Rhinolophus ferrumequinum: one gene and its partners. The protein of the gene in region 3 interacts with the protein of the main gene of each other region in a pairwise test. Links are inferred from orthologs where the notes say so. Each region holds a gene or a part of one and is shown on either strand. Other genes may lie near its edges. The genes, in order: NTRK1, INSR and SH2B1.

Region 1 (7,640 bases), on a different chromosome or scaffold from region 3:
GGAGGGGAGGAGCCAGGAGGAAGCTGACAACCAGAACCAGCGGGAGGCGCCGGGGGTGGGGACAGGTTAGGCTTCTTCCTGGGACAACAAGGGTTCACCCCACTTAACCCCTCCCCAGACCCCAGGGAGGGGGTCTCAGGGAACAGCTGCTGCCCCCCCACCCTTGGCCCCAGCTGGCAAAGTGCTGAGGCCCCAGCTGGGGGACCGGCTCCATCTGCGCTCCCATCCCCACAGAGCCCTGACGGGGCCAGAGGAGGGGCAGGCCATGTCTCCCACACCCCTTGCCCCCTAGCGGTTGACAAGGGTTTCAGAGCACGTCCTTAGGTCTCCTCCCCACTCCTCCTTCCTTCCCCTCCTCAGCCACTAAGACAAATGGGCTGGAAGGGGCCCGGCCCAAGCCCCCAGTTGTAGAGATGGAGAAGTGAGCTGGGGGTGGGCTGCTCCCCACACAGGAAGCTGGTACCTTGCACCAGCCTGCCACTCCTGGGCCCTTCTGCCTCTGACGGGCCTACCCTGACCCCTCTCCTTGCCTAGTTGCCCTGCAGTGTGTGGGGGCTGGGTGGGAAAGGCGCCTCCACACCCCAGTCAGAAATGCCGACCACGTTAGCACCAGACAGAGCTCAGTGTGCTTCTGTCCTGCCACTTACGGCTGTGTGACCACAGGCCAGAGCTGCCTCTCTGAGTCCCAGCCTCCTCATCTATAACACGGGGTGACACTCTCTCTTACCAGGTCATTAAGTAGCGTGAGGTACACAGTTTTAACTGAAGCCCCCAGGATGCAGTCAGGATGTGACGTCACCTTAGTTTTTGCTGTTGTCTTTGCTAAATCATTGGTCACGACAGTTTAGAGTTCCCAGCACAACCACAGGAATGGCCGGCCCCACCACCCTCCCCATCTCTCCACCCACCGCCCACCCTGTGCAGGAGAGGGGCCACCAGGGACTGACTCCCAGGGTCTCCCTTCACAAGTCTCTCCTGGCCATCTGTCCCCTCCCTGTCCTGAGCTGTGACTCCCCAAAATGGGGAAGGTGGTGAGTGGCAGGTCTGACAGTCCAGCTCCCAGGCTATCCCAGGGGCTGGGAGGGGGTGGGAGATGGAGTCCCAGCCACACCCCAGGGTCCTGGCCGCCCCCTCCCCCCGTGCCCCAGTCCATGTGTATCTGAACCCTGGGAAGCAAAATAGGGCAGGCACCTAGAAAGTCTTCCTGCAGCACGAAGCATGGACATGAGACAGCAAGAAGGACCAAGCTGGCAGGAGTGGGAGCTGAGAGAAGTGCCATCCCCAGAGGGGATGAGAAGAAGCCCCAGGCTGGAGCCTTTCTCAGAACAGGTCCCCGGGGAGGCCCAGCCCATTAGCCGCCCAAGTCTGGGTGGCCTCCCACCCCTTCTGCCCAGCCCTGGCCACTCACAGACGACTGAGCTGAGGGGTGAAATGGAATGCATCTGGCGCCACGAAATGGAGGCCACTCTTCACGATGGAGCTGGGGACGGGAGCAGCAGGGTCAGCTACCGGGGCCCTGGCCACTGCCCACGCCGGCCCCCAGCCCCCGTGCGGAGCCCTGGACCCTTCCCAGCCCTCACAGCTTCCCCGGCTGCACTGGCCGTGACCTCCGCCAGCCCCTGGGCCCTCCCAGGCCCCTGGGTCGCTGAGCCCAGCCTGACCCTCTGCCCTCCAGGCTCCGCACTACGCCCCACTCCACAGAGCCCCGCCGCTCACAGGTTTCTCAGCTCCCCCAGGCCCCTCAGGTGAGTGAGGTTCAGATGCCGGAGCTGCGTCTCGTTCTCGATGTAGCTGTGGGGACAGGGGACGGGAGTCAGCGGAGGCCACCCCCCCCCTAAGTACCCCCCCACCTGCCCCTCACAGTCACATGTATGCACACTCATGCACAGACCTGTTTACACGCAGACACAAGCACGGGCATGCACACACACAGACACAGAGACACACCTCCTACACAGGTGTACACACACCTGCATGCCCACACCCTCACACGGGCACACGTATGCATTTCATGTACACACACATGTGACAAATGCGCACGCTCACATTCACAAACACATGGCCTGGCGTTCTACTTTCACACAAGGCCTCTCCCGCACATGCTCAAGGGGGTCACGCTGAAACATTGCTGCCACAGCCCCGCCCAGCACACGGGACACCCACGGTCATGCAAACCTGTGTGCCCAAACACGCCCGCTCGGGGCCACTACCTGGTCTCACCTGTGTTGCTACACACACACACACACACACACACACACACACACATCCCACCCTCTCCCCGTGCCCACCCTCAAGCAGCAATCCATAGTCCCCCCCACCCCCACCTCTCAGCAGAGCAAGCAGAGGCATAGAGGCTGTCAGTCAGGGATGCTTTGACCCCCTCCCTGCCCAGGAGGGACCCAGGAAGGAGGAGAGGGGCAGTAAAGGGGCACGGACTGGCTGGCTTACACAGTGAGAGAGCAATGGGAAGACTCAACAGGGCGGGGTGGCAGCACAACAGACAGTGAGGCAGGCACTGAGAAAGAGATACTGACAGGAAGAGACTGGCAGGGAGAGAGAGACAGGCAAGGAGCAAAACAGATAAGGAAAGGGAGACAGAGAGACAGAGAGATAAGGACAGAGCCAGAGAGCCAAGATAGGGAGATGAGAACGAAGAAGGAAGAGAGGCCCGGCTGGGTGGGGGGCTGCTGGCGCCCTGGGTCCTGGATCCCGCACGCCAGGGAGTTCCTGAGAACTCAGCTTCTTGCAGAGTACTTGCCCCACACACAGGCGCCCAGTGCCAGGCCCCTGACTCACTGCCTGTCTCAGCACTCTCCCCCACTCCTACTTTCCCTAACTTGTGGGAACCAGGCCCAGCCTGAGTGACCCTTTCCTCCTCCCCCCTTCACAGCCGTGGCCCCAGTGGACAGCTGGGTACCAGGCCCGCAGTCCCCTGGGAATAACCTCCAGTGACTGGGAGGGAGAGTAAGTCTCTGTCCAGAGCTATAGGGACCCAGGGAGGGGTGAGAAAGCTGTCAGGCAGCGTGCTCAAAGCTGCCCCATTCGTTTGGATTCGTAATCAATCTGTCTATTCGAGTCCATTATCTCCTCGTTAGCTCTGCGAGTGCGGGAGGAGGAGGGGGCCCAGCGTGTGCAGGCTGAGGCACAGGTCAGGCTGCCGCCCCACCCAGAGGGACCCCTCCTCACCACCCTGCGTGAGTCCTAGTCCCAGCCCCAGCCCGTCCACGCGCCCCCCACCCCACGCTGGACCCACTTGGGGCTTGGAAGGGAACTGGGAGATGAGAGCGCTGGTGGGACCATTCAGAAGCCTGGGCCGTGGTGTGAAGGCCCAGGGGGATGATGAGTGGACCGGACCGGGGCAGCCTGGATCTCATGCTCCCTGCCGTTATGCAGGGACCTAGGCCCCGACCAAGACAAGGCCCTCTCTTCTCCTCCTGGTCTCCCTAGGGCCGTTAGAGAGATGGAGTACCTTCCCGTTAATTACCACGAGATACCCGAGTAACTCGGTGCCAATTATGGAATGCTTCTCAAGTAACTTCCAGACAGTGACGGCACTACCTTGCACACCTTCCAGCCCGTCCATCACCGCCTAAGGCCAGGGTTCCTCGTCCACCCTGTAAGCCCCAGGCCAGAGGAAGATATTCTAGCATGTCCTCCTCTCTTCTAGAAGTCCTGCTGGCCCCATTAGCCAAACAGAATACTCAAGTATTTTTCAGCCATCAGCATGTGATGCTTGAGTACCTCTAGGCCAATTATTACAGAATACTCCCATAGGTTTCACCAGCTGCTAAAAAGTACTTGAGTATTTTGTGACCGATTACTGCAGAATGCTGGAGATTCCTCCCAGTCTGAGGCCTGACACCCTGCCCCAAGTAGGGAGACAGGGTGGAAAGGGAGAGGGGGGTGAGGAGAGACAAGGGGGGAGTCCCATTTCATACATCCGAAGCAAGGGGTCGAGGAGACAGGAGGTAGTGGCTATGGGGAGAAGAGAGCTCAGCCTCCAAGCTATGACTTTTCACCTCCTCCCACTTTTCCAGTTCAATTCCCAATTGCAGGGGGAACAGTTGGGGTTGCCTGGTCATGACAAGGAAGAGGGGGTGGGGACTGGTTTCCCCATGGAAAGGGGATAAGGCCGGAAGGACCAAACTGAAGGGTCCACGTCCCTCCCAGCAGCTAACCACGTCCCTCCCAGCTCTGCCTGGCTCCAGGAGGCGGCTTCCACATCGCTGGGCTTTCCCAGAACTGGCCACGGAGAGCGCCCCTTACTCTCCCCGAAGCCTGTGCCCCAGCCACACTGAGCTCTAACCCACGTCCAGCAGGAACTGCGGGAGCACAGCCAACCGCAGCGCCCGCCCTTCCTGACCACGGGCGAGTCCGCGCCCTCGGGGCACGGCTATGCGCGCCGGTCCCCGCGATCCCCCGCTCGCGGACACTCACAGTTCCGTAAGGTTCTCGGTGCCCGGCAGGTGGCGGAGGCTATCCAGGGCCCCAGTCCGGGTGCAGCGCAGCCCCGAAGGGCCGTGGGGGCAGCAGACATCAGAGCAGGGTGCGGCGCCCGCAGATGCCAGCATCAGCCAGGCCAGCAGGCTGCCCGGGCCCGTAGGCCGGCCGTGCCGGCCAAGCTGCCGGCGCCCACCGCCTCGCAGCATCGCTGCGACGCTCGCCTCGCCCCGCGGGCCGCCGTCTGTGCGCTCCAGCAGCGGGCGCCGGGCCTCCCCCGACACGTGCGCGGGGCGGTGTTAATGACCCAGTCGCCAGGAAAGGGCGGAGCCATCGGCCCCGCCCCGCCCCGCCCCGCCCCCTCTGGTTCCCACGTCTCCCCCACCGCTCCTAAGCCCCCGACTCGGCCCCCACCCCTTTCGGGGGCCCCCGCGCCAGCCTTCTCCCCCAAGATGCCCCCCAGCTCCGGGAGACGCGGGGGCGCGGCCGCGGAACGCCTCAGAGGTGTCTGCTGGGTGGAGGAGAGGGGAAGTTGATACGCTATTTTTCCCAGCCTAAAGCAGCTGCATTTAGGGGGGAGGGGAGGTGATGGAGCCGGGAAAGGTTGCGGTCCTGGTCACCCCAGCCAGCCCCCGGCTTCCGATCTCCCTCCTCAGGGCGCGCGTGCCGGAGCGACTGTGCAGTGTCACTTGGATAAATTAGGTGTAACACTCTCAAAACCCTACAAAGAAAAGGGAAGGGACCCAAAGAAAACCAAACGCAGGACCTGGGGAAGGAAAACTCAGAAGAGGCAGAGAAGGAAAGTGTCTCCCAGAGCTGGAGAGGGGCGACCGGGGAGCCGACACGCCGACTTCCTGGAGAGGCCACAGGGTGGCGCCAGAAGCCCGCGAGCAAAGGTGCGAGCTCGGCCGGGGTCGGGTGGGTGGGGGCGCGGCCTGCAGCGCCCACTGCGCGCCTCGCCACCCATCATCAGCCCCCGAACCCGGCCGGCCAGCACTGGCCCCCTGGCCGGGTAGGGCCAAGCCGGGCCGCGCGGGCATCGATCGCCGCCCTGACAAGAGCATCGATTTCTGCGCGGAGAAATTAATAGGTCTTCTCTTAGCTCCTTGGATGCGGGAGCGGCCGGCGGGTGGAGCTGGGACCGGTCGGTTCTAGGGGGCCGCGCACCCGGAAAGCCCCGGGATTCCCAGAACCCAGGGAGCCACAGGATAAGTCCCAGCCCCTGACAGCCCCTTTGTGGCTACAGCGGCCCGACTGTGTCAAGCCGGGGAGATGGGGAGAAAAAGGGGCCCTGAAGGAAGGACTCAGGAAAGGGGGGCAAACAAGGGCCCCACGGAGAGAGCCGCGTGCTGCTCGCCTCTCCGCCAGGCCCAGCACAGATGTGCTCCAGTTCCCTGAGGCAGGGACGGACAGACAGACCAAGCCAACCCAGAAGCCTGAATTCAGGAAGGTGGCCGGACAGAGGTGGGTCCCCACAGGGTGATGGCCCTCTCCGAAGGGATATTGGTCGGAACCAAGGGACTTGGCTGGGACGGGAGTGGTGGCCTCCTGGGCTCCCAGAAGCCACGGGCTTGAATATTCAGCAGACACAAGTCACGTTCCCGCCAGGTTTCAACAAGCTCGCTCTGCCGGTCAAGGCTGCCAGAAGTTACCCCGCAGGTGTCAAGGTACCAGTGGCAGAACCTAGAACCACCCCTCCCCAGGGGACCCGACAGCCCGCCGCGCTTCTGGCCGTGCAGCCCTGCCTGGGAGAAGTCTGCAGGGCGGGGGCGGGGGAGCTCAGATCTTGGTCTAGCACCCCCCTGCATTTTGGCCTTATTTCCCCAACAGACCTGTTCCCCCCTCAGTTGTCAGGCTAAATATTTTGGTTTAGCGGGAGGGGCGGAGAGAGCCGAGAGGTCCCAGCAAACCAATCCGTTTGGGCTGGGGGCGGGGAGGGCGGGAGCAGGGCGAGGCCCCTGCACGCGCCCGAGGACTCGCAGCCTGCGCGGCCAGCGGGCTTGGGAGCCGAGCGTGCCCCCAGGGATCCGGGGAGACTCTCCAGCGCGCCCCAGGACCCCCGCTACTCTCCTTGGCACGGCAAGCTCCCTGGGCTTCTCTCTGCCCTTGGGCTGGCCGGCCTTTTGGATCGCCTTTTGCTCTGCACCCGGTGTGACTTTCTCCCCCGGGGGTCCTCTCTAGTCTTTCCCTGTTGTTCTCTGCATCTCTGTCCTCATCTTTCTGTCTCCAGCTGCTTGTCACTGTCTGTCTCTGTGGCTGTCACTCCTTTTTCCTGTCTCCTGCCACCTATGTGTGGGATTCCTTGTAGCTCGGTCCCTACCCTCCCCCTCTCCTCTGAAGCCTGTGTCTCTGTATCTCTTAGGGCCAGTCAGACCGTTCCGCTCCCCGGAGCCATCTGGAGGAGAGCCAGCACTGAGGCAATGGCAGTGCCCAGTCTGTGGCCGTGGGTGGCATGCCTGCTTGTGGTCCTCCTGTCCCTGGGACTTGGCCTGGACACACTGGAGGGTGAGTCCCCGGCACTCTCCTGGAGCCGCGTCTCCCTCCCTGCCAGCTGGGAAGCCAAACTGAGCTTCCAGCCAGGACACAACTATTGCGGTGTGAAGGACTTCCCCAGAAAGAGCAGTTAGCTCCCCACATGAGGGTGTTTTCCTCTCAGTTCCCTGGGAGGTGAGAAGGACCTTGAAACAGAGGGACAAATAGATACCCTCCATTCCCAACCCCGCTGGTGAAACTGGGACGCGAACCAAGATGAGGGGAGAGAGTCTGAGAAGTCATTTCCAGGGCCCCTGAGTGGGAGGGGGCAGCGATGGGATGGGGTGGGTAGCTGAAAACTGGGCGCTTTAAGTAACTGAACCCATTGTGCAGACAGGAGACTGAGGCTCAGAAAATTGAGAGGTAAAGCTGGACTGAGGTCCTGAGCTCCTGCCTCCAGGGCCCATTCAGTGGCGTGGGGGCTGCTTTTCTCTCATGCCCCAGGCTAGACAATTCCCATGTGTAGGGCTGAGGGCGGAGGGGGGGAACCATGTGGATTAAGTGGCCCTCACGAGGGTGCTGGGGGGCTTGGCTGGGAGAGGGGAAAAAGCTGAGGGTGGAAGATTCAAAAAAGGATTAAGAAATGTCCCCTTCCCCGATCCTACCCTTCCCTTCTGGACTGATGGGGGCTCAGGCACCCAGTGCTGTGTGCCTGCCTGAGAAGTTCC
Region 2 (7,640 bases), on a different chromosome or scaffold from region 3:
TTTTCTCCCTAAGGCACATCACAGCCCTGTCAGGCTCAGGAACACCAGACAGCACTTCAGAACTATGCACAGGGCCCATGTCAAACAACAAAATCACCAACAAAAAAAGCACAAAAATGCAAAAACCAGGGCAGTCGATATATCACAAAAGGGCACTTGTTTTCATTCTTAGGATTGCATGAATCCACCTTCGGAGAGCTGACACAGAAGGTACAGCACTGCCATGGCTGACTTCAGCTGGAACGTTCAAGTCAGGTGACTTGCATTTTTCACCCCTCTGCGTGTGTCCGGGAGTGACCACAAAAGTGCTTTGAATATTAATTTTGGAGTTACAAATAAATTCAGCGAATAAGCTAATTCACAAATGTGAAATCCAGTACTTAGATTAAAATTTTCAATTTGAAGAATATTAATCCAACTATAGGATAATTTTTAAAGTCTGGAGAAAACTATAGGGATGAAGAATAAATCAGTGTTGCCCGGGGTGAGGGGTGGGGTGGTGTAAGGATAAAGGGGTGGCCAAAGGGAATTTGGGCAGGGAGAGAAAGGACAGTTCTGGATCCTGATTGTGGGGACGGCCACACACCTCTATGCCTGGGTGAAATTTTGAAAACTGTGCACCAAAAAAAGAGTCAATTTTACTGTATAATAATTTTAAAAATTTAAAAAGATATATGCCAAACTAATAACTTTTGTTTTTTCCTCTCTGTACTTGCCTGATTTTTTTTCAGTGAGAATGCATTACTTGTTATTTATTATTCTAATTAAAAAACCATACGCACAGTCTTGATTGCAAAACATAAACCAAGCCACCCCTGACGTATTCTTAATAGAAAGGAACACAAGAGGTCTTCAGAGAAAAATCTCAGCAGACATCACTTTCTTTTGGGCTCTAGAGACAGAGCCAATGGCACGAAATCCTCATTCAACGCCAAGATGACTGTTGAAATAAATAAATCCTAAGATCACACACACACACACACACACACACACACACACACAAAACTAACGAGGAAAAATCACTGATATTTTCTCACCATCAGAACCAATACATTCAGCACAACAAATGTATAAGTTTCTTTAATACAGCTTGCTCTGTAAAGGGAAAAACACAACTTATCTGGCATTTTGTTTCATTTGATTCATTCAGTTTTTCACCAGGGACCACACGAGCTGTTAGGCATGTCATCCTGCTCCTCAAGGAGTTTGTTCTAAATCAAGAGTCAGCAAACTTTCTCTGTAAAGAGCTAAAGTGTAAATATTTTTGCAGGCCATGCAATCACAATATCCTCTGCCATTAGAGAGCAAACGCAGCTATTGATGATGCATAAACGAATGAGTGTGGCTGGGTGCCAATAAAACTTTATTTACAAAAACAGGTGTGGGAGGGCAGAAGATTTAGCCTGCGGGTGTAGTTTGCTGGCTCCTGTCCTAGATGGAGTTTGGCTATATGTAAATAAAACAGTGGGCTGAGAGAGGGTCAGAGTAGGGATTTTCCCTCTATGAAGAGAGCTAACACAGAACAGAGGAAGAGAAGAGGGAGGACCAGGGGACGCCAGTCACAGGTGAAAACTCGCCAGGAGACTGTGCCTTCCAGTTGGAGGGGGTAGGCAGAGGCAAATCCAGAGAGGTTAATGGAGGTGAGGCTGCAGGAGAGGCAATTGGGAGGTGAGGAATTACCATCTCTAGAACCACCGGCAAAGCAAAGCGAGGGAGATACAAGCCAGATGCCATGGGTAGAGCAGTGGGTGAAAGGTTAGAAAACGAGATTGTGGAGAGGACCTGCCAAGTCGGGGTTTGGCAGCGGAAAACTGGAGGTGGGTGGTAGGTAATGAGGTTCAGGGAAGCATTGAATGTTTATAGGCTGGAGAGAGTAAGGCTCCTGGGCAGATGGAGATCCCTGAACAAACAAAGGGGAGAGAGCAGGCATCCGGATGGATAAGTGTCCTAGACAAGAAAGAAGTTATCTCCCCAAATGCAGTGGTTTTCAACTGCGGACCAGTCGGCAATGTCATGAGACACTGTTGATTGTCATGACTTGGAGAGGGAAGGTGCTCCTGGCATCTAGTGGGTAGGGACTGGGAACGCTGCTGCTCCACATCCAACAATACACAGCCCGGCCCCCCCACAACCAAGACTATCTAAACTCAATGTCAAAATCACTGAGATTGAGAGATTGAGCGATTCTGCTCTAATCAAATGAGAATGGAAGTCAATGATGGAGTGGGGTACGGTGGGGACCGCAGGGGGCTCACCCCAGTGCCCTCTATGCATGAGTGGGGCAGGGACAGAGGGCAGGTCTCCAGGAGAGAAGGAAAAGTTAGGAATAACCCCAGGGAGGTACCCGAGCAGGCAGACGTTCTGCCCCTCGGGCTCCAGAGCGCATAAGAGAAGATACAGAAACATCTCAGGCCGCCTTGAAAACCGAGGAGGATTTGGAAGCAAGCGTCTCCGACCTCAATTAGGTGACTCACGGAACCCTCACCCCAAAGCTCTGTGGGGTTTTTATTTTAATTCATCCCACATCACCTGCATTCTCTGACTTTGCAAGGCCCACAGGTAGTCACGGAGCCAGCCAACCCAAGGAGAAATGGCGGGGAAACCATTATTCAGTTCAGCAAAGCAACAGCGACTTCATGGAGAAGGCAGTGGGGTGACATCTCCAAGGAAGAGTCCCTCATTTCTTAAAAATCAAGTTGATTTCCCTCCACCCTCCTCCCTGCCAGACATTATAGCTTTAAAATGCCTCCTCCCTCCCCAAACTTCCAAGGGGAAGTTATTTGATAGGATTTTGTTAACTATTACTGCAGCGCTGGAGTGGGGAGGCCCAGACCCAAAAGAAGGACCATTTGGTAAGAAACCAGTGTTGGGCAGCCAGACTAGGAGGGGTTCTGATTCCAGCTCTGCTGCCCACTGGCTCTGTAACATAGTCAATTTCCTCACCTGTGGAAAAAGGATAAACCCTGCCTCACAGGGTTGTGGTGAGGAGTAACTGAGATTATACATGCAAAGCATATAGAATATGACCTGCCACGTGTTTGTTATTATTAGTTAGGTATTGTCTGGAGGATAAAGGAATACCAGTGAGAACAAAAAGGACAGGAGCCAAATCAAGGACAAATATTTACCACACACCTACTAAGCACCAGGCACTGTTCCAGGCTCTGGAAATGTAACAGTGAATGAAAGAAACAAAAGCCTCTGCTGTTGTGGAAACTCTAAACATGTAAAGAAGTGGCAAAGCCATCTATTGACCCCTGGAAGCCCAGGCACAAATCCACAATTAATTGAATTAATTACCAAAGTGCAAGGAACAGAGGAGCAGGGAACTACACATATCCCTGCGTGCACGCGCATACACACAGACACAGACACACACACACACACACACACACACACACACACACACAATCTGGCGTTAGGTCTAACAATACATCTTGGATTTTCTTAACAAGAACCCAAAACAACTGCCACCCTTCATTGAGTGCCTACTGTATACCAGGCACTCGGGGGCTTCGAGTCATTGTGTAATTAGCAGAGGCGCTCAGCAAGCTGCGTTTGTCAACGCCAGAACCTGTGTGTGCTTTCTCATGTGTCTCATTTACCATCAGGAAACTCAGGAGCTTCTATATCTTCCCTCCCCGACCCCTTCCTCATCATGACTGATTTCCTTTTATGGAGAAATCTGAAGGAACCCAACAGATATTTTTAAAGCAGGGCCTCAGACACAATGGTGAAACACCCCAGCTATATTCTCTTACATGATTCTTCAGCCCTTGTCCCACAAACAGAAAGGCCTGCTATCGAGCCCCAAGGAGGATGCTGGAATGGGGGGTTGCTTCCTTCTGCTGCCAGCACAGGGAAGCCCAGGAAGGAGGCCCACGGGGGTAGGAGTGTGAGACGCTCACCCAAGGTTACAAACTTCGTGGGGCTAACAAGTAAAACCCCCTTCATGAAGGGCAGAGCTGTAGCGGGGAGGTTATCAGGGAGATGGCAGTACACAGAGCGGCTCAAGTCCTCCCTCTGGCATTGACTTTGGGGCAAGTGAATGGTCTTCTCCCTGAGCCTGTTTACTCCTCTATAAAACGGGCGAACAACAGTATCTGCCTCTGGAGTCCAGAGAGATAAGATGGACCAGCCCAGTGGCATTCGGTGACGCTAATTATAATCATAATGAAAACCGCCACTGCTTCTTCTACTACAACTGTGCTGTTACCACGGCGCGCGAGTTTGCCTCCGGACATCTGGAAACAGAAGCCAAAAGTGTAAACATGGACCTGGAGCCCCAGGTGGCCACGGGCCTACCTCTCAGGAATGGGGCAGGAGGAGGGTACAATTTCCCGCCTCCCGCAGCGTCACCTACCAGCGGGACCCCAGTGGACACCGCCCCCCCAAGTCTTTCATCCTCGCCTCTGGCTCCAAACTGTGTGTGCCCCAGGCATTGGGCTGCCCGAGGCCACCCAGACCCAGGGACCCCACTTCTCAAAGGCGACCCAGAGAGGATGGGTGTCCGTCTCTGGAGCGAATTGGGCTCCGAGGAGGCGAGGCATTGGTCAGCGGTGAGCTCCGGAGAGGGGCGCCTGCGGCGGGGCGGGCACTGGGGGAAGGTTCCTCCAGTCCGGGCCGGCACGCGGGGCGCGGAGCCGTGAGCCCAGGCGGGCAAAGGCCAAGGTCAGCGGCTTTCCGCCCCCCGCGAAGCTGGAGAGACAATTCGGGCCACCTGCCCCCCACCGAGAAGGGCTCTGAGTTCCAAATGGGGCTCCATTTTGGCAAGGGGTCCCCAAACCCCCCACGCTGCTCCCCGCCCACTCCCAGACCCCCGGACTCACCCTCTCCAGGGTACAGGTGGCCCGCGGCGCCCACCAGCAGCGCGGCCACAGCCACCAGCAGCGGCGCGGCGGCCGCCCCCCGCCTGCCCGCAGCGCCCATGGCTGCGGGAGCACCGGTCCGGTGGATCAGAGCGCGCGGCGCCGGCCCGCGGGGGTCATGCTCCGAGGTGGCCGCCTGGGAGGCGCTGATGACCCTGCCTCCTCCTCTTCTACGCCGGCAGCCCACGGGCCACAGTCCTGGCCCAGAAAGACTCTTGTATCAGCCCGGGCGGGGAGCTCGGCCTCAGCCGCTACAAATTCCGCCGCGCGGCCCCAACCCCGGGCTACTGCGGCCCTAGCCCCGTCCCGCGATCTCAGGGCCGGTAGCACCACGCTGCACCCCGGACCTCTCGGCTCTCGGCCCCGACCGCTCTGGGCCGCAATCTGCGGGCGCCCGGACAAACGGACGAACGGACAGAAGGACGCGCGGACTGGCGGGCAGGCACCAGGGCTGGCGGGTGCGGGCGGTCGGCGGGAGCAAGGGCTGCTCGGCCCGTAAACAACGAGGCCCGTCAGCTGGGCCCTGTGCAGGCGGCAGTAAAAGGCGGCACGGATCCACACTCGGAAGGGACTCGGCGCCTGGTAGAGGCCCGGGAGGGGTGGAGGAAGGCCAGCCAGAGAGAGGCACCGCCCCGCCCGCCTGCCTCCCTCTCCAGGGCCCCACGCTAGAGGTCCCGAGCGCCCCCCTAGCTCAGGGGGTGCCCCAGATCCCTGCCTGGCCTGAGCGCCATGTCTCAGAGCCCGGGGACCCCCTACATGCCCAACCCAGCAAAATATGTCGTTAACATTTTGCTATTTTGTTTCTTGTGGACTTTGGGGCATTCGTTTTCATTTTTTTTTTAATATTGCATTAAAATATTATTTATCTTGGTTGCTCGGGTTTTTGGTACTCCCTTAAATGTTGCACTCGCCTCACCGTCGTCCCGGACTTCCTGCCCCATGTGCGCCCTCTCCCAGAGCCAGGCCCCTGGGGACAGCCACGTGCACTCGCCCGCCCGCCCGGTGCGCTCATTGTGCTCGGTGGCACCAAGCCCTAGGCGCGGCCTGTGGTTCAGTTGGAGAGAGGACACGTGGGACAATGTGCAGAACCTCCCCAAAGTGCAAAGCAGGCGCTAGACATCTCCTGGGTACCGGGCAGGTGGACACACTCGATTTTCTATACACAGACCTCCATATGTATCTGAATGTCTAGGCAATGTCATTCATGAATAAGGCATGACAATGGTCAACCTACCTTACTGAATGGGGGCAAGGCGCCTTAGGTACAGGAAAGCAGAACCGAGTGAGGATCGAGCGGCTCCTCACTTCCTGTGCAGCCCTGAACCAGTGACTTCACTCTCTCTGGATAGGTCTCACCTGCATGATGGATGTAACAATACCTGCAGGTCAGATTTGGGGAGTTGCAGGGGAAGTAAAGCATGAGAAAGCACCCAGCACAGCTCTAGGCCCAAGGCATACATTTTTGACTTTATACCTAACACGGAAGTCCCACATCATGAGGATATGGGACAAATATTAATTTGCCAGGAACTGGGCCTACTGTTCCTCTATGGCACCAAACCTACTCCTGCCTCCAGGCCCTTATCCTAGTGCCTGTCCCTCCCTGTCCCTCCAGTGCCTGGCTCCACCTTTCTGTTCCGGTGACCCTTCCCTGACCACGCCCCCTCCCTTAATCCTTTTCTTTGCTTCCCTGTTATTAACATCACACCTGTATCTCTACCTGAAATTCTTGTTTTGTGTGTGTGTGTATCTTCTCTTCCCCCCATGAAGGCAGAAATCTTGTCTGTCTTGTTCACTATTTTATACCCAGTGCTTTACATACTCATTGCTTCATAATCACTTGTTGAATGGAAGAATCAACATGCAATAACTAATGGGGATTTACAGTGAGGAAAATAAACACAATCCATTTCCTTGTACACTCATGGTCTGCAGGGGGAAGAGGGCCATTAATTAAACAATCTTATGTGTTATAATGGGGGGGCTTCTCTGAGGAAGTGATATTTGAGCTGAAATCTGAAGATGAGGAATAAACAGCCAAAGGAATCAATCATGTTCCAGGTAGAGGGAACAGCATGTGCAAAGGCTCAGAGGAGGACAGACGGGTGTTCTTGTAACTAAACTTAGGCACTGTAGCTGGAGCACAGAAGAGGAGAAGCTGAACTCATGGGTGGGACTAGAAGGGGCAGAACCTCAATTACACCATGTTAAGGGTCCCTACCTCCTTTATCCTAAAAGCAATTGGTATGCACCAGAGGGTTTACACAAAAGGGTTAACATAATCAGCTTTTCTGTCCAATAACATCTCACCATCTGCAATGGGGCAAGAACGAACCAACGGAGAAGAAATAGATGGCGGCTGCAGTCCCAGAGTATCAAGAAGTGTGGATTTGATAAATGTTGTTCCCCTTCCTTCTTGTGCATACCTGTCCACAGCTGTGGGCTTCCTTCTGACCCACAGGAGCCCCCAAAAGCCACCACAATTCCAGGCAGGCAGTGTGTGCTGAAAAAGACATGAAAGGAGACATGCTGTCCTCTGGAAATCCTCATGATGTGGGACTTCCGTGTTAGGTATAAAGTCAAAAGAATTATTTCAATTCAATTGTGACTTGCTGGGGGGAAAATTTAGACACCACCACCACTCATTGTTCCTTTTGTAAACCCAACCCCCTCTCAAAAAAAGCATCTAGAAATTGAAAGTCAACCTCTGCCTTTTATTAAAAATCATTGGAATGGACAGTAAATAGAAAATCACCATTTGGCAACCTCCAA
Region 3 (7,640 bases):
CTTTCTGGCACACACACCTCCTCATTTCTTGGGTGCACGGGCACCTCCTCCCCTGCAGACCTGCTCTGCTCACCCTGCTGTCGCTGGGAGGACACGACGTAGCTGCCGAGAACCACGTCGCTGGGGCCTCCGGACTCCAGAGGGATAGGGTGCACCCGGAAATGCTTGAGCATATCGAAGATGGACTGGAACCACAAGTGCTGGACCCGGCACTGGCCCTCCTCATTCAGCGACAAACGCAGGTGCTGTGGGCGGGACGGACCCGGTGAAGCGGGGGGCGCAGCCCCTGCCAATCACAGCACCCAACTCCAGGGGACCGCCGGGACCCCCACGCCACCCACGAGCGCCTGCTACGACACAGCCTTTTCCTGTCACTCACCTTGGCCTTGCCCTGGAAGTTGAAGGTGAGGACGTACTCGCCCCGCCTCGTCTCGCTCTGACGTACCAGGAACACGCCATGGGCATCCGTGCCTCCAGCCAGTACCAACTGGGCAGCCTTGAGCCGCGAGAGCATCCCGTGGAACCAGGGATACCCTGAGAGGGGCTGGTCCCCCTCACCGCCCTCTGACTCCCCCTGGAACAGGAAGGACCCTTCAGGAAGGAGAGAGGGAGGGAAAGCGGGCTGTCAGGGAAACCTCCCCCATCCTGGGAGAAGCCAAGCCAAGCTTTCCCTCCCTGCACCCCCACCCCCACCCCCACCCCCACCCGATCCCGGGACAGGAGTTTCAGGTAGAGCGCCACTGGCCCGGAGGCAGAAACACACGCACACCTCGGGTACCTGTGGCTGTTTCCGGAGTGTCCGGGGGTGGGTAGGGGGCCGAGAGTGGGTGACCCGTCCCTGCTGGCGGCCCCTCTTCAATGGGGATGCGGGGAGGCAGCTCGGGGGGGAGCAGTTCCATTGAGTCAAAATGAGAGGCAGCGATGGAGGCGGAACTGGGGGAGATGGACGCCGAGGGGCGGTCTGAGAGGCCCCCATACGCCCCTGGAAAGGAACGGAGAGCAAAGTGGAGACCCAGAGAAGCTGCCCCGGCGGGACTGGCCTGCCTGGGCCACCTCCCCCCAGCCAGCCTGCCCTGTGTGGACTGCTGGGTGCGTGAGCTCAAATGCAGGGACCCCTGGTGTTTCCCACCGACGGGTCCCCCATTATGTTCCATTCAATGCCCAGGGACTACACGGACCACACGGTCCCAGAACCCAAAAGTGCCTCCATCTTTTTTGATTCAACAGCTGAAATGACAGCTTCTGTTGCGGAAGTGAGGGTAGAATCTCTCAAATATTTTTGCATTAAAAAGGGATCCTTTCGGGCCAAGAGGACAAAGCCCCCAACTCTCAGAGGCGTTCGAGAGCCCCCTTCTGACAACCCCCTCAACCTCACCGACTTGACCTTCACCTCGTGTCCGGGTATCCTCCACGGGAGCCCAATCATCTGCTTCTCCCCAACCTCCCGGGCTCTCTGCTCTCAGCAGCTGCCTCCCCGCCCCCTCACCCGGCCATGGTCCTTTCTCCCACCTTCTCTGCATAGTACCCCATCTGTTCCAGCACCCCCGATTCCTTTCCTCCTGAGCTCCCAAGGTGTTTCGTGGGGCTCAGAGGACACGAGGCACGGGCTCTCCAGAGTCCTGCTTTTTACAGTGATGTCTTGTCACCTCACTTAGACTGTGAGCCCACGGAGGGCAGGGTTTCCCTCTGAGGCACGTCTGCATTCCCTTCCTGCCCTGGAGCCCAGCCCAGAGCAGGCCCAGAGCAGGCGTGTACCAGGCCACGCCTACTGTCTGCTGAGTGGCGGGCCTGACACGGCACCTAGTCACTGCTCAGAAGACAGGAGTACGTGCAGGCTACACAGCAGGGCTCAGGCATCACGCTGGCAGAGCCCCACCTTCGCCAGTGACTCTCAGGGGACATCGGAAAGCCATGTCCCTCCCTGGTGTCAGCTGCCCGAGCAGCCAGGGGACTGGACCTGCTGCTGTGGAAGGCCTACCCTGTAACTCGTTTCACTCACTGAAAGCAGCCTGCGTGCCAGGGACTCAAAATGAAACTCGGCGTGGAGTCCAGACAGGTGAGCCGGGGGCCAGGAACACACAGTCTGTGTGTTTACGTGTGGGGTAAGGGTGTGAGTGTGTAGGCAGACCAAGAGGTACAGACAGTCCAAAGAAAACGCGGTGCCATCGACACATGCACGGAGACACAGTATAAGAACAAAACGAAGACGAGTGCAGAGCGTTCTGGAAGCTTGGAGAGAGCTGTCACCTCCAGCCAGAGTGGGGTCCACGCAGGCTTATGCAGAAGGTGACCAGGCTGGGCACAGGAGGGTGAGTGGAAGTTTGCTTCTGGCTCGTGTGGGGTGGTGATGCTGATGGTCCCAAACGACCAACGGAGGTTTGGCGTCTTCAGGGACAAGAGACAAACGTGTGGGGGTGGGGGTGGGGGTGGGTAGCTAAGGGGGAGGAGTGGGGTACACAGTGGAGTCCCGGGCCTGAGAGCAGGGGATCTGGGGTGGCAAGTTGTGAATTCACAGGTCTCTACGGCCCCGCCCTTACCCTGCGACAGGCGGTCGTTGCTCTCGCTGGGCCCCAGAAGCAAATCCTGGCTGGGCAGACTCTCTGAGTGATTCAGGCAGGGCAGCTCCAGGTTGTCCGTGTTCTCCCGTGTGAGAAATGAGGTCCCAGGGGCCAGAGGGAGGGTCATGGGGCGGGGGCTGGTAGCGGGGCAGGGCCTGCAAAGACAGGCAGGAGAGGCACCGGATGAGAGGTACAGGCTGCTCCCCGTCCCCGCCGCGCCCCACGGTGGCAGAGGTCGGGCTCCTCACCCCGGGCTCAGGCATTCCTGGATGTCCGACACCCAGGCCTTCACGCGGACGGCATCCGTGGTCTCCAGGATGTACTCGGAGGAGCCTTCCACCTGTGGGGACAGGGGGAGCCCCGAGGCCATTTCCACTCAAACAAGAACAAGAACGTCCTCCCTGTCTCTTCCCCTCCTCCCAGAAGGCCACAGCCCAGCCCCAGGGACACACTCTCCAGGCGTGTGACACACACGCACCTCCTTCCACCGTGTCCCTTGCTCGTACGTGCTAAGAGCTTTCTCCCCAACACGAGCATTCCAGGGGCGCAGGGGAGCCCGGGACCCCTACCTTCACCACGAACGTGTTCTCCCGGTCCGGCATCTCCAAGGCCGTGGTGGTCCGCACGTCCGTGATGGAGGCGCACGGGATGCTGAGTCGGGGCCGAGAGGCCTACGTGGGGGGAGAACAAGAGCCGGGTTTTGGTGAGCAGAGGCCATTGCCCGCTTCCCTCCAGAGACTCCTGCTTCCACACCCGGAGGGATTCAGGCAAAAGGGAGCAACACTCGTGTTTCAGTCCTGCCACCGCTACTAAACCCAGAGGCAGGAGCGGGCTTTGAAAGCCAAGGTCAGTGAAGCGATGGCCCAGCCGTGACCATGCTGGCAGCGCACCCCCCCTCGCTCCCAGAGCCCCCGCCACCAGGGCCTCACCTTGGGTGGTACAAAGAACTCCAGGCGACTTCCTCCTCCTCCTTCTCCTTCACTCCGCAGCAGCAAGCGACACTTCTGCCACTGAGGCCCTGCTCCCCCTGAGGTCGGCCCCGCGGCCCCTCCTCCCCGGCCCACGGCGGCGGGGTCAGGGGCTGCCTCTTCAGCCCCCATGAAGCTCAGCAGCTCTTCCCTCTGTACCAGCCCTGCTCCGTCCTTCATGGCGGCCCCTCCCCGACTGAGTCTCAGCCTCTCAAAACGGTGAGTCCATTTGTCCCCCGGGGATGTCCCATCACTAGCCAGTCCCCTGCCCACGGTCCCAGCCCCGCCCGAGGAGTTGGAGTTGCTGTTTCCTCCTAAGACTGGGGGCCCTGACGAGGTCTCGAGGGGCCCCGTTGGGGAGGGAGGGTCCACAGTCCCCCGCCACTGCAGGATGCCGCGGACGGAGCCGCGGACAGAGCGACCCACGGAACGGAGGGAGAAGCGTTTCTTTAGCTTCGGCTTTGAGGAGGTCGTAGAAGAGGAAGAGACCGAAGAAGGAAGGGGGCCGGCCAGGTCTTCAGATGATCGGGAAGGGCCCAGCACGGCCAGGGGGCCGCCTACCCTGCAGGTCTCAAGGGACAGGTCATGCAGTGGGACGTCCACGCCAGGACTCAGGGGAGCCAGGATGGGTGGTGAGAGGGAGCCAGAGGCCCGGGCCACCTCAGCTTCAAAATGCTGCAGGAAGAGCTCAGCAAACCGGCGGGAGAAGGCAGCCTCGGCCCCAGGCCCTGCGTACTGAGGGTGGGAGGCCAGGTAGAGGCGAAAACGGCGGGCAAAATCCAGGGCAGCAGCCCGGGCATGGGACTCACAGAACTCCCGCCAACTAGGGGGCGGGGGCAGTGGCAAGGGGGGAGGAGAGGGGGAGGCCCCATCCTCCGGGGAAGGGGTACCATTCATGATGGTCCCCAGGAGGTGGCCGGGGGGAGCCTGTGGGGAGGGGCAGCAAAGAGGGAAGCGGCCAGAAGACACAGGGTGAGCGGCAGCAGCTGCAGAAGAAAGAGGCACAGACACCGAGTCACTGCTGAGGTGGGACAGGGGGTAGAGCCCCACCCAAGCCAGACTCCCTCCGCTGGGCTGGACTCCCGGACTCCTCAGAGAGCAACGAGGAGCAACACAGAACTGCTCCCCTCCCGTCCCGGGCCCTCGCAGCCCACATGCCCCCTCCCGTGTCCAGCCTGCCGCCGGCCCACCCGCTTTCCCAGGCTTTGGGTCCACGAGTGAGCAACCGTGGCGGAGTGAGCACCTGTCTCTAAAAAGGCCTCCTTTCCACATCACCTCCCTTCTCTCAAATGGAGCCGCCAGGTATGTACGACATGCTTCCCACATGCTGTTCTTACCTTTCCCCGCGAGAGGTTTTAATAACCTCTATAAAGGATGAGGAAACCGAAGCTCAGAAAAGTTTCAGACCTCCATGTCTACCGTTTTTCCCATTGCATAATCCTGGCTCCCAGGGACTGGGCCGGCCTCAGGCAGAGCCCCCACTGCCCCAGCCCTCCGCGAAGCCCGGTCTGCAGAGCTCAGAGACCCTGTCTCCCGTATCCTGAGATCCAGCTCTGAGGAGGGAGGTTGCTTACTGAGGAGAATGGATGGAGGATGGACAGTAACGGTCCTGAAAGCTAAGCCCAGGGCCCAGCACCCAAGCGCTGTGTGAGGAAGGCCTGGACCGGTCACAGCCCAGTTCTTTGCTGCCCCTTCAGTTGGGGGCTCATGGCGGCAGCACCAGGTGAGGAAAGATCACCAAGGTTGGGTCGGGGCAAGTCTTTGCCGGCCACAAAGTAGATAAAATGTTAAGAGGGAGCTGGGGCCCTAGGACTTTTCACCTCCCTCTTTTCTCATTGAGGAGAGTGCCCTAAAGGCTGGTCCGCCTGCCCGTTATGGCCCTGGGTTCTGGAGTCAGGCTGGGGATGAACTCCAGGCTCTGCCTGCCACCTACGAGCTGTGTGATCTTGAACGAATTACATGTCCTCTCTGGGCTTTAGTTTCTGTACCTATAACACAGAGCTAACGGTTCTTAACCCCAGACGTGCCGGGAGAATTAAACGGGGCACGTCAGAGCTTGACACCAAGTAAGCACACAATGAGTGCCATTATTGCTCTCTTCCCGGGTTCCAATGTTCTAAAAGAGAAATCAGAGAAAGGAAGAGACTTCCCCACGTCTTCCACTAGCAAATGGCAGAGTTGGGCACGGAATTTACAACCCATGGCTCTTCTGGTAGTGTTCCTCCCCCCATATTTTACTGGAAGATGCCTGGCACCAGGACGGGGGGTCGGGGGGGACCGCAGCTCAGGGGAGTCTCCCCAAAACCTCAGACTCCTGGTCAGACCCACAGTGGGCCACCCCTCCCGTTCCTCCTTGGCCTAGACCCTCCACACTCAGACGGCTCCAGTCCTAGGGACACTTCCAAACCAAGGAGAAGCCAGGAGATGCAAGAGTCACGGAGCACGGGGGACTGAGCCACGAGGTGCAGACACAGCAGAGAAATCAATCCCCGGGCAGAGGCCAGCTCAGCTCAGACGGGCCCACCCAACCCTCTGCACCACAGGCCGACCCAGCCCCCTTCAGGCCCGCTGCCCCTGCGGCTCCTGAGCTGGTGACTCAGTTTCTCTTCTGCCAAGCAGGACTCAGACACATTTTCCCGGTGCACCTGCCTCTTGGCTCCGTTCTGCTATTTCCCGAAGGGCGGGTGGTGGAGGGTGCAGGCTCCGCTCCCGGCTAAGGACCCTCCGGGCCCGGTGCAGTCCCCTCGGACCCGACCCTACTCCCCTGACACCCTTTACCCGCCCATTCCCCGGGGCCGCAGTCTCCGGGGGACCACCCTGCCTGCTGCCCTCTCCGGGGCCGAGCGCCCCTCCTGACTCTGGCCACCCACGCCTTCTCCCACCCAGGGCTCCTCGCAGGCGCCGAGGCCGGGTCGCGGAGAGGGAAGAGGGACTCGAAGAGGGGGGTTCCGCTTCCGGTCCCACCTGCATCTCGGTCCCCGCGGTTAGCTCCGGCGGCGGCGGCGACGGCGGCAGCGGCGGCAGCTCCCACTCCCTGCCCCCCCCACTCCGCGACTAGCTCCCAGCCTGCTTCTGCGCAGGCGTCGGGACCCCTCTTCCGGTCACCGCAGGAAGCGACCATAGAGAGGAGCGGCGAGAGGGAAGGGCAACTTCGCGCTCACTTCCGCCACCCTCCCACCCCGCGCACCCCGGGAGACCTAACAGGGTGTGACTTTCGGAGTGTTCGATGACATAAGCCGTCGTAGGAGGGGGTTGGGTCCCACCAGAGCATCTTCCCCAAGAAGAAATCCAGGACAAAGGACAGCAGTCGACCATAGAGAAGCCACCTGAGGGGATAGAGTCGCGAGGCCCTGTGGGAGGCTAGAGCGACCCCCGGGCACCGGAAGCCAGCGCGTTGGAACGGCGTTAGGAGGGACCCGCTGCAGCCTAGAGCGCCGGGCCCCTGCGGCCGAGGGCTTCGCGGACACCGCCCCCAAGGAGCTGGGCCCGAAAGGACGCGAGTGACCTTGGGGAGGCCCCGCGAGGAGGCGGAGCCTGAATTTGCGACCTTGGCTTCTCGGAGAAAAGGGATTAGAGGCTCCAGGAGTCTTAGTGTCTGAGACGGGAGATAAAGATGGGGGGTAGACATAACGAGGTCAGTTTTGGACGTGCTTGTGGGCGACAGGAAGCAGGTGGACGAACAGTCTGCAACTCCGGAGAGCCGTCAGGAATTGAGAATCGTTAACGTATAGGGGGTAGTTGAAATCATGAGCACGAAGAGATCCTATCTGCCCCGTCTCTCATTCACCAGCTCCCGCTGGTCTAAGCAATAAGGGCCCCTTACTTGCTCAAGCATTTGAAAAATCCAGCGTGGATAAAGCTCCTTCAGGACCAGCTGAATAGAAGGGCCCAAAGATACCAAGAACCTGGGGTTCCCCTGCTCTGGGCTCTGTATTCCCCATGCATTTGGCTTCACTCTCAGGCACTGTCCTCTCCTTGGCAAAGTGGCTTTCCATAGCTCCAGACCTAAGTCCTAAGAGCTGAGCAACTCTAGTGGAAGCATCATGCGTCTTTTCTGAGATTTGCAATAAAATTTCCAGAACCGATTTTAGCTTAAGTGCTTTTCCTGGAACAC

Evidence for each region.
Region 1: the proteins of SH2B1 (region 3) and NTRK1 interact in a two-hybrid assay, tested with the Homo sapiens proteins (2 studies listed by BioGRID). The link is inferred for Rhinolophus ferrumequinum from reciprocal best matches to the Homo sapiens genes SH2B1 and NTRK1.
Region 2: the proteins of SH2B1 (region 3) and INSR interact in binary tests that used the Homo sapiens proteins (3 or more experiments, as listed by UniProt). The link is inferred for Rhinolophus ferrumequinum from reciprocal best matches to the Homo sapiens genes SH2B1 and INSR.

Annotation. Positions count from the first base shown.
Region 1 is NC_046305.1:1,196,963-1,204,602, reverse strand, and holds the start of NTRK1 (high affinity nerve growth factor receptor), read right to left. Parts: upstream 4,706-7,640; 5' UTR 4,650-4,705; coding exon 4,438-4,649; intron 1,792-4,437; coding exon 1,717-1,791; intron 1,481-1,716; coding exon 1,409-1,480; intron 1-1,408. Other genes in the region: INSRR (insulin receptor-related protein), read left to right, coding at 6,861-6,945. UniProt on the Homo sapiens protein: Receptor tyrosine kinase involved in the development and the maturation of the central and peripheral nervous systems through regulation of proliferation, differentiation and survival of sympathetic and nervous neurons.
Region 2 is NC_046301.1:56,446,040-56,453,679, forward strand, and holds the start of INSR (insulin receptor), read right to left. Parts: upstream 5,039-7,640; 5' UTR 4,930-5,038; coding exon 4,830-4,929; intron 1-4,829. UniProt on the Homo sapiens protein: Receptor tyrosine kinase which mediates the pleiotropic actions of insulin.
Region 3 is NW_022680357.1:1,246,508-1,254,147, reverse strand, and holds the start of SH2B1 (SH2B adapter protein 1), read right to left. Parts: upstream 4,981-7,640; 5' UTR 4,892-4,980; coding exon of another isoform or gene 4,864-4,891; 5' UTR 4,853-4,863; coding exon 3,488-4,852; intron 3,230-3,487; coding exon 3,128-3,229; intron 2,899-3,127; coding exon 2,807-2,898; intron 2,714-2,806; coding exon 2,538-2,713; intron 983-2,537; coding exon 779-982; coding exon of another isoform or gene 770-778; intron 592-769; coding exon 380-591; intron 246-379; coding exon 74-245; coding exon of another isoform or gene 18-73; intron 1-17. UniProt on the Homo sapiens protein: Adapter protein for several members of the tyrosine kinase receptor family.